Linked DNA regions of Ovis aries. The protein of the gene in region 3 interacts with the protein of the main gene of each other region in a pairwise test. Links are inferred from orthologs where the notes say so. Each region holds a gene or a part of one and is shown on either strand. Other genes may lie near its edges.

Region 1 (3,656 bases), on a different chromosome or scaffold from region 3:
TCAGCTTTCTTCAAAACAATAGACTTTGGTGAAGCAACTCAGCTGGACTAGACAAAGTTTGGGAGTTTTATCCAGAAATCTTAGTAAGAACTTTGACACATATTTTATAATAGAAACACATTTTGAAAAGCCACGTACCTTTTCACCCTCGTTGTTTGATTCAAATATGTAACAGACTGATGACAAGTTACTTTCACTTCTCCCTCCTGATGTCCGAAGAACAAATCCAAAAAGCCTCTTATTTTCCTGATGTGTAGCATACAGAACTACACTGGGTAATGGAAACTGCACAGAAAACATCAGAAGCAAACGTGAGATTTTTTCAGATCATTGTAACAGCGCTTCTATATATGACAAATGCATGTACTTAGTTATTAAATAACATAAACAGAACATTAGAGTCAATCATTTTTCTTAACGGAATGGTAATCCAAGAACAAACAATCTCACATTTGGTTTGGATTGCCAGGAACGTTAAAAGGTTGTTGAATACTGAATTTATTAGTCATTAACACATTTTACAAAGTCAAATTCAGTAACAAATATGATCTCTGTTATTAAATGATTAAATAAGCACACACCTGCAGCTATTTCAAAATAGATAATTATAAAATAAACTCAACCATGTTGGCCTTTTAATTCCTTAATTTGTTAGTTTCTTTGTTAGTCACTCAGTCATGTCCAACTCTTTGTGACCCCATGGACTGTAGCCCACTAGGCTGCTCTGTCCATGGGATTTTCCAGGCAAGGATACTGGAGTGGGTTGCCAGTTCCTTCTCGGGGGATCTTTCTGACCAAGGGATCTTCCTGATCCAGGAATCAAACCAGGGTCTCCTGCACTGTAGGCAGACGCTTTACTATCTGAGCTACCTTCTTTAGGGTATGCTATATGCTCCCTAACTGACGGATAAATATGAATACTAAATATCACATCAGACTGCACTGATTCTTTCAACTACATGGGATGTTACAACTTTTTTTGGAGAGATGGCCATAAACTCAATTATAGCCACCTAAAAATCAATCATAATTCATGCTTCCATATCCAAATATTCAGTCACGATTATCAGATGTGTAAGATGTGTATATGTACAAAAAGACTTAAAGCTTTAAACATGCAGAACTCACCGTGAGCCTTGTAACTTGTGTCTGTGGATCAATTAACCTATAATAATAAATAAAATTTAGGGAAAAAATGTTAATTATGCTACAATTATATAAATATTTTTTCCCACAGTTTTTTGAGGGACAGGTTACTACTTACTTTAAACAATCACAAGTGACTAATAAATGTGATTCTGTCATACGAAAGATGTTATGGATGGCCCGGGCAGCTAAAATTTGGCGCATTGTTTCATAAACAACATCTGGATTGTCATCTGATTTCACCTCCATAGAACCAAGGAATCGGACAATAAACAACTGATGAAGAATAGACTCTACAACAAAACAAGGTACATTATGTAATTTTAAATCCCACATTCTTTTCCTATGGAATTAAATACACTGCCCTCTTTAGGTTTTCCAGTGAAATATTCTGAAGCACTCAGAAATAACTCCTAACTACAGTGTTCATGTTACAGAAAAAGTAAGATCTCAAATTCCAAGAGCAAAAGATTATGCTTCAGCAACTGGTGGTTCTGAGTTAAAAGAATTCCTTTTACTATTCTGACAGCTTTACTGTTAGTTTGAAATTATATCAAAGTAAATAAGTATGGGAAAAAGAAAAAAAAAAATTATGCTCCAGAACCAGAAGAAAACAGCTGTTAGGAAGGTCAAAGGATATCTTACACAATGAGAACCTGACTATGAGGTCGAAAGTATGAGATTCTATAATTTTGTGTGAATAACGAAATCTTAAGTCTGAGTAAGTTCTGTTGCTTTAAGTGCACTAGGAGTAAAAAGAAAAAACTGAAGGAAAGATACGGTTAAAACACACAGCAGAACAAATGTAAACAACAAATTCTTCTCTCAGTTTACTGCTCTGAGAATCTCTGAAATATAAGAACACTACACTTATTTTACCTTCAGTTTCAGACTTTGTACCTCCTCCAGATTCTCCAAATGGATTTGTACGCCTGAAAAGTATTTTAAAAAATTATGATCCAGTGGTCAGTCACCATGAGCCACAGGGAACCAATCTCAATCACTGAACCCAGAATTAAAAACTAAAGTCAGAAAACCTTGTACACACATTTTTTTAAAGCTCAAAAATATCCCTTCTTGTTAAGGAACACTACTGATGACCAACTTACTTGTTACGAAGGCCCCTGCCCTCACACTAATCGGCTGAACTCAAAGTTGCTATATCTCAGAAAATGTAGACAGACAGGATGTTTAGCCACAAACATAAAAATCAACATTATAATAAACTATGTTGCAAAAGTTCCTGAATTTAAATAAACTAGGACAGAGAAATGGCTAATTTAGCTTCAACTTTAGTTATATGAGAAAAATGTAGGAATTTCCTTGGATTGTGGGGGAAAAAAAAAAAACACAAAAAACCTTTTAGGTCCTCTAAGTATGTGACGCAAATTAACTACAATAATTTGAACATTTTCTAGAATTAGACCTGATTTCTCAAGGCACACGTAACAGAATGCAAGAAGAACCAACTAACCAGAGATGGAAGCAACTTCCTTCCTAAGTGTGCTTGGCTCATGACACACCCACAATAAAGGAAGAAAAGTACAATCCAAAGTAGGATTTATAAGCAAACAGAGAGCTAAGTGGTTCTAAGATAACACTGGCTTTCAGATAACATAAAATTGACCTCCCTAATATGTATCTGACCTATTATATCAAATGCTAAGTATTTTCCTATGATCAAATGTAAATTATTCTTTCTTTGCCTCACTCATGTATACCCAGTTACTACATTATCAACTTATTAAGTGTCCAACCTACTTAATAAACGATTTGCCTGAAGCCATATTTCCCTCATCCATAATCAAAGAAAAATTTTAATGACTTTGACAAGGATTTATCATTATATAAATAAAGATAATTCATTAATAATTCATAGCATGACAATGTCTTAGTACCTTGCTGGAGATTTCTTATTCTAACACAAGATAACATTTTCCAATAAACCTATGGCACATATATATTACTCTTATATATTAAAATATTGTCATGATATCAACTTTATTGTCACAGGACTGTCACCTTTCTTCTGTAATTTTAAGAGTAAATACCTTAGAAGTAGATCTGATAAACCATTCAGAATTGAATATTTCTAAAACTAAATTATCTGAACTCATTTAACTGAGGCAAAAACAGAGAAAAGCCTTCATGATTCCTCTTCAACTATCAAAATTCTGGTAGGTAATTACAGAAAGAAAAACATAGCTGATGCACAAGATATGTGAGAGATGGCTCTCAACTGTAGAACTGGACTCATAAGCCTTACAGCTTTACAGACCTATCACTCACCTGCCTCCCTGGCCAGAGGCTTTTGCCTGGCCAGACTGATCTTCACACACAGGAGAAATAATGTCAAACTGTATAGGGGTATCTGGGGCAACAAGAGAATCTAGAGAGAGGGCAGCCAAATTTGTGGACTCAGATCCTAAGGATCCTGAACTGCTGGTTCGAGCTGTGGGTGGCCGAGATTGTCTAAGCAGAGAAGAAAACAAGAAGGCATTGCATTTAGT
Region 2 (3,003 bases), on a different chromosome or scaffold from region 3:
AGTGAACAAAACAGACCAAAAGCTCTGCCCTCATGGAACTTTCTGGTGGTGAGGGCAGTAGATAAACTAATACAATATGTGTTCTGTTAGGTGGTGATAAGTGATATAAAAAAGTTAGGGAAGGGCAGTGGGAGGAGGGAGGCCAGACTGAGATGAAATCTGAAGGTTTCGATTGTGGTCGAGGAAGGAAGGGAGGTCTCACCAAGGAGAGCCGAGCACAGCCATGAAGGAGACACTGGAGGCTATGCAGGCCAGGGCCCAAGGCCCTGGGTCTCCACAGGCCGGCCTGCCTCGCGCTCTCAGTTCTCTGGGGCCAGAAGTGTGTCCAGCCGCCTGATTTCTGAGTCTCAAGTTTGCAGATCTTATCAAGGGAATCACTATGGGACTTTTTTTTTTTGGCCTGGCGTACATTACAGTAAGCCAGAAATCACCAAACTGGAGTTTCTCTCAGCAGAAAGTTGTGATTTCTTCCAAGCACTTTCCCACTTCAGAGTACTGAAGCTCTGTATGATCCGATGAAGCCTAACCATCCCAGCCTTGTCTTCTTGTGAAGGAGAAGAGAGCAGTGGTCTGTTCATGACTTCAGAGAAGCAGTTCCCCAGATGACTCTTTCATAGCATAAGCTTTCCTCACAAATTCTTTACAGGTAGAACTATTTAAGCCCCATAAGAATATAAAAGAGGAGTGTTGGGCTGAACATAAAGAAAATCTCTTAATCAATTTACTCTATGCATTCACACAATAAAGAAATATTTATTACACAAACAAAAAAGAGTGTTGTACTCTGAATAAGTAGTGAAAGAGGAATGAACAATGCCCATCAGTGCCTATCTCTGGGAAGAAAAAGTCTCAACTTTTTTGCATTGGTTACTGTGGATGAACTTGAATGCTTTCCTGTTATTTACATTTTTACAAGCATAGACTCATATCAGCTGTATAGTTTTACAGCTATTCTTTAGGTACCGCTGTCCCAGCAATTCTTTCTGTTGGCCATCAAATCTTCTTTCCTCACCTGTGTGTTTTAGGAATTTTTGTGCTATGTTGCATTGCATCAGGGTATGCGAATTTGCTAAAACGTTTCTGTTGTCGTCCCTAGGACTTAGAAGAATTCTGCTTCAGGTTTTGCATAAACCATTTGACTGTAGTAACACAGACTTCGGGCTTTGCAGAAATGGACCATGATCTCTTGAAGAACTTCATCAGCAAAGCAAGCAGAGTTGGAGCCTTTAAAAACTGACCCTCACCTGCAGGAAAGAATTTCTAGTGTTTCCACTCTCCCTGCAACAGCCAGAGAATAACTTCTCCTTAATAGTGTTGATGATGAGCTACATTTGGGCTGAAAATGTTCTGTCAAAACAAGGGGATGGTGGTGAGTCTTCCCCACCTTCTGAAATCCACTGTCTACAAGAGAAGGCATTAAGTGCTCTGTTCAGATGGAACTAAGCTCAAGGGGAAAAAAATTGAAATGTCTTACTGTATTTACCATTTCCTCTTACGAGTCACTTAAGTTGGAGACTTTTGGTACAGGGGTCTAAGTGTATGCTATTCTGGCCAAATTTGCATATTCAACAGGCTGGTACCACACGGATAAGCTTGACCAGGAATGCTGTCACTAGCTCACTTTCAGCATCCAGCACAGTGCCTTGCATATAGTAGGCACTCAACTTATTATCAGTTTTAATCATGCCTGAACAGCTTTTTATTTATGGGACACTGGATGAAGGAATAACTTAGGTAAAACAAATGTAAAACAACTGAGTTTCCTATTCTTATGGTACATTGTTCTGAGGAATAGTGGCTAATTTAGAGCATTAATTAGAATTCACAAAAGGCCTTGGCAGTTAAATTGTTGAAGATCCAAGGGCTAATTTTAATTGTTTTACTCTGAGTCATTATTTCTCATATGAAATCACTGAGTATGAAATACTTTGAGTGAGTGTTATTCCTGGGCTCATTTGCCTTACATAATTGCATAATGTCCTTTTACTTTTGTGTTAAGAGATTTGCCTCCATAAGTAAAAATGGTTTTCTCTTGTAGTTGATTTTTATGTCACCACAAAACAGGTCTTTTAACTTGGCCCAGTGTGATGATAAAAGTAGCAGCCAAAAAGGAACTAATACATTTCATGGGCAGCACTAGCAAGAATGAGGTAAATTTATACTTTTTCAATCAAGTTACCCAGCTGCGAATGAGAAACTGGAACAGGATGTAGGCTGCAGCGTCAGGCTCCTAATGTGTATTTCCCAACAAGATACTACTATGCGAAGAAACCTCTTTTGGAATTAGAAACCTTGTTCTGATGCTGAACTGTTTGATAATAAAGTGCTCATTTGTAGGTAACAGAACAAATGTGTTTTTTTAATTCATCAGAAGCAGCAAGATTCTACCAACCTTATGTCTCTCAGATACACATGGGTTGTTTCATACAAGCTAATTTTTTAAAGCAGTCACTCAGATAAGGCATCATAGCAAAGCCTACCCTAAAACATAGATGACTTCTAAACAGTTTAATTACTATTCATCCACTTACCTACAAGTGAATGGTCTTTACTGGTGAGGTCACTTGAATCCTTGTTTTTGTTGATCTGTTTTTGCAGACCTGGTCTGGTAGAGGCCAAGGAGTCCAGATGTCTCTAACTAAGTCAGAATCCCATTTTTGGAACTACACAGTTTGGGTTATTTTAAAACAGCCTCACCCCATGTGTCTGAATGTTCTGGTAGGTTTACTGTCTCTCCAGCAAAGAAACATCGAGGCTTGGGTGTTACCAGCCAGCTTCAGTTCTCACAGTCAGATGTCCACAGGCTTCATTCACTTCTGACTTCTCCTCACCCTGCTATGCTTGCTGTCACTGACCAAAAGCCTTTGTATTTTACAATGTCTTCCCGAACCTTCTCTTCCTCTTTCTTGCCCTTTTCGGGCAGTCTTCTGAAGTTCCTCAGTGCCTTTTTCTTTTATGAACTCATTTCATGGAAACATGGGACCACCCAGAAAAACAGGTAAG
Region 3 (3,656 bases):
GGGAAGACACAAACTAAGGGGAAACGGCCAACCTTGGCCGTAAGAAACTCCCCGTCCTCCCAGAGCAGCACTTGCAGCTGATGCCTGGTACCCCAGGGAGACCACCGCCCGACCGCCGGCTTCCCAGGAGTCTAACTACGACCGACCTCAGAGACGATGGGCGACAGGAGACCCACCGTCTCACCGTCACTGAATGGCTGGCGGCGGCCAACGCGTCGTGCCTTCAGGCTCAGCCTCACCATCGTTCGTAATCATGTTACGTGTTCTTCCTCGGACAGGCCAACGTCAGTCAGTGACAGAGGAGTCCCTGTTTCCTTCATGTATAGACCCACGACCACTCCACACAAATGGTCAGAAACTGCTCACACTTTCATATTACTTACAGCAAACAACAAAATCTCCTCTATCCTATCTGAAGCAAGCAATTTGCCGTGATGGAAATGGAACAGATAAAGGTATATGCAGAACTTCCCTGGTAGCCCAGTGGCTAATACTCTGCGCTCCCGAGCGAGGGGGGCCCGGGTTCAATCCCTGGTCAGGGAGCTAGAGTTCACACGCCACAGCTGGAGACCCCACGTGCCACAACTAAGGCCCGGCGCAGCCAAGCAAACAAAGAACGCTTTGTTTAAAAAAACCAAAGTGTATGTGATGGGCTGAATAACGGCCCCCAAAGATGTCCACTTCCTCATCCGAGGAGCCCGTGGATCTGTTACCTGACACTCAGAGACTGCTTCACGGATGTGACGGAGAAAACATCTTAGTGGGTGGAGATAAGCCCGTCTCAAGGGGACTTGTGACAAGAGACAAATGCGCAGAGGGAAGGCAGAGCGGCCACACGGGGAAGGAAAGGGGGGACGCGGTGCGATGCAGTCAGGGGTCAAGGACCGCAGTCAGCCCGGAAGCTGACCCAGGCAGGAGGAGGCGAGGGTCTCTGCTGGAGCCCCCGGGGCCGGCCCCGCTGCCCCTGAGCCTGAGCCCTGCAGACTGACTGTGAATTCCTGACCTCCAGGGCTTTAAAGTAAGAGAGACATATGGGTTGAACCTGCTAGCTTTGTGGTAATTTGTAACATTAGCCACGGGAAACTGACACAATGTAGTCAATAGATACTAATTATAAGGGAGTCATTAGGAAGTAGCTCTCTGTGATCTATAATTCACAAGGCATTTTACAGAGACCTACTGTCTCCACTATCAAATCCTAACTGCCCCACCCTCCTCCGCCAGAAGTTAAGCTTCTTACACAAACTTAAGGAGACGCAAAATCCAGTTCGACTCCTGGTTGTGACGAAGCGACCCGGCTTCGCTGCCTTTGCTGCCTGCCCAAGGAGAGGGTAAGGCTTCCTGAGGATACATGTTGCCAACACTTAACAACTAAGAGGAGTGAAGAAGCAGCAAAATGTGACCCATAACTAAGAAGAAAGGAGACTAAAAGGGGCACAGAGCACTGAGAGCCTGGAAATAACAGACCAAGACTTAAGCGTCACGGTCACGAGCAGCCCAGAGAGCTTAAGGGAAACTGTACAAAGTGGATGAAGGGATGGAGCATCTCATCAGTCGCAAGGATGCAAGTAGAAACCGGAGAAGTGATGAGTGCAAAGCTGGAATGAAAACTCGCTGGAGGGGCTTAGTGGTTACGTGGACACAATAGAGAAGACGAGGAAACCCAAAGAAAAGACGAGAAAAACTCCCCACGATAAAGCACACAGTGGGGGAAAAAAGTCAGTAATAAAAAGCACACCCTGGGCACCAGAGTTCTGTGGCACAAACCCAAATGCGCTGATACACACGTAGTCACAGTCTGAAAAGCAAGAAAGAAAGAATTGTTGGAAGAGATGTGAGGCTTTTCAAAAAGGGTTGAAAAGCACTAATTCAACACACTGAAGCCCCAAGGAAGATAATAGACAGAAGGTCACACACAGGTCAACCCACCAAAACCCAAAGTGAAAAGACAGGGGCAACGAAATGACACATTTTAAAGAACTAAGAGGAAAAAATAAAGCATGCACCATTACTGGCAACCTGGACGCCTATGTCCATGGAAAATATCACTAATATAAAACAAAGACGAAACAGAGGCATTTCCAAACAGAAGCCGGGAAAACTCACGCTGCACCACGGGAAACGGTAAAGGAAGTCCTTCAGACTTACAGAAAATGGTTATGAAAAACCATGAAGGGCAGCGAGGAATGGGCAAATATCAAGAAAGATGCAGTCTTAACTTCCTCTGAAGGACAATGGCTATTCGAAGCAAACAGAGCAATGTATTGTGGGATTATAATATACAGAGGAATAAAATATGATAGTAATAATACAAGAGAAAGAAAGAGTAAATAGAATTACAGTATTGTAACATTAAATGTTTCATGGAGTTTTAATACCCTGGTTACTCATGGTAAAGTGTGATGAATTAATTATGCATACTGTAATCTAGAATAACCACTTAAAAATAATATAAAATTGAGAAACTAAACAGCAATAGAGTAATAAAATATAATACAAACAACCCCCCGCACAAAATCTCAATTTCCAAATAAAGAAAAAGAACAGAAAAGGAAAATAGATGAGAATGAAAGATATAGTAAAAATTAACCCCAAGAATATCCCATGTAATATATTGAGTGTAACAAAGAGTCAACACCCCAATTAAATGCAGGTTTACAAAAAGACCCAGCTGTTTACAAGAGACGTGCTTTTAATATAAAGACAGAAACTGAAAATAAAATGATGAAAAAAATGCACATTGCAAACACTAATCATAAGAAAGTCAATGTGTCTAGATTAGCATAAAAAAAAAAACCAAAAAACTGAACTGTGAAAGTATCATCAGTGATAAAGATGGATATTTCATGAAGAACAGACATTAAAGAAGCCCAAAGTTGGTTCCCTGCTTAGACTAACAGGCTTGATAAATCTCCTTTTATCAGTATATACTTTTAGAAGGTCCATGGATCTCCTGTGTGCTTATGAATCTCTACTGAAAGCGCTCTGCAAGGCCACATTGCCTTTAAATCACTGATCCTCTTTACAGCATGTGACCCTGTTACTCGTGCTCACGGGACTCCCGCCGTCACTCACCTGGAACGTCACCTTCTGGTTGATGTCCTGCACTCGGAACTGCTTCAGGAAGCGCTCATCCTCGCTCCAGAAGAGGCGGATGTCGGGGATGTCGTAGAGGATCATGGCCACCCGCTCCAGCCCCAGCCCGAAGGCCCAGCCGATCCGGTCCTGAGCTCCAGCTGCAGCGGGGAGGGGAGACCAGAAAGAGGGTTAAAGGGCACGAGGGGCCACAGGTCCATCCCACTCCTAACACCCGGACAGGACCTCAGCGGGTGCCGACCAGAGGCAAGGTGCATTTACACAGTGAATGTTTATCACCAGCTTATAAAAAATGCCTATCTGAACATGGGTATGAACTATGATACCACTCTTCAATATAGGGACAAATAAGGGTTGTGATGTAAAAAAATAATAATAATAAAATGTGATGTTCAAAGATTGTTAAGGTTAATAGTTTTTAAATATGTTTAAAACATGTTTCTGAACTGTCTTTGCAAATAAAAAATAATAAAGATAGGTGGAATATTAATGTTGCTCTGTGAGTTAGACTTTTTCCTTAATTATTAAATCCTTTATATTTTATTATAAAAATTTTAGAT

The links.
Region 1: the proteins of FARS2 (region 3) and APPL1 interact in binary tests that used the Homo sapiens proteins (3 or more experiments, as listed by UniProt). The two-hybrid records come from large-scale screens. The link is inferred for Ovis aries from reciprocal best matches to the Homo sapiens genes FARS2 and APPL1.
Region 2: the proteins of FARS2 (region 3) and RCBTB2 interact in binary tests that used the Homo sapiens proteins (3 or more experiments, as listed by UniProt). The two-hybrid records come from large-scale screens. The link is inferred for Ovis aries from reciprocal best matches to the Homo sapiens genes FARS2 and RCBTB2.

Annotation. Positions count from the first base shown.
Region 1 is NC_056072.1:43,947,634-43,951,289, forward strand, and holds part of APPL1 (DCC-interacting protein 13-alpha), read right to left. Parts: intron 3,619-3,656; coding exon 3,436-3,618; intron 2,079-3,435; coding exon 2,026-2,078; intron 1,455-2,025; exon of another isoform or gene 1,440-1,454; coding exon 1,265-1,439; exon of another isoform or gene 1,238-1,264; intron 1,166-1,237; coding exon 1,129-1,165; intron 286-1,128; coding exon 139-285; intron 1-138. UniProt on the Homo sapiens protein: Multifunctional adapter protein that binds to various membrane receptors, nuclear factors and signaling proteins to regulate many processes, such as cell proliferation, immune response, endosomal trafficking and cell metabolism.
Region 2 is NC_056063.1:18,580,070-18,583,072, reverse strand, and holds the end of RCBTB2 (RCC1 and BTB domain-containing protein 2), read left to right. Parts: intron 1-1,096; coding exon 1,097-1,237; 3' UTR 1,238-2,350; downstream 2,351-3,003.
Region 3 is NC_056073.1:48,397,936-48,401,591, forward strand, and holds part of FARS2 (phenylalanine--tRNA ligase, mitochondrial), read right to left. Parts: intron 3,237-3,656; coding exon 3,076-3,236; intron 1-3,075. UniProt on the Homo sapiens protein: Is responsible for the charging of tRNA(Phe) with phenylalanine in mitochondrial translation.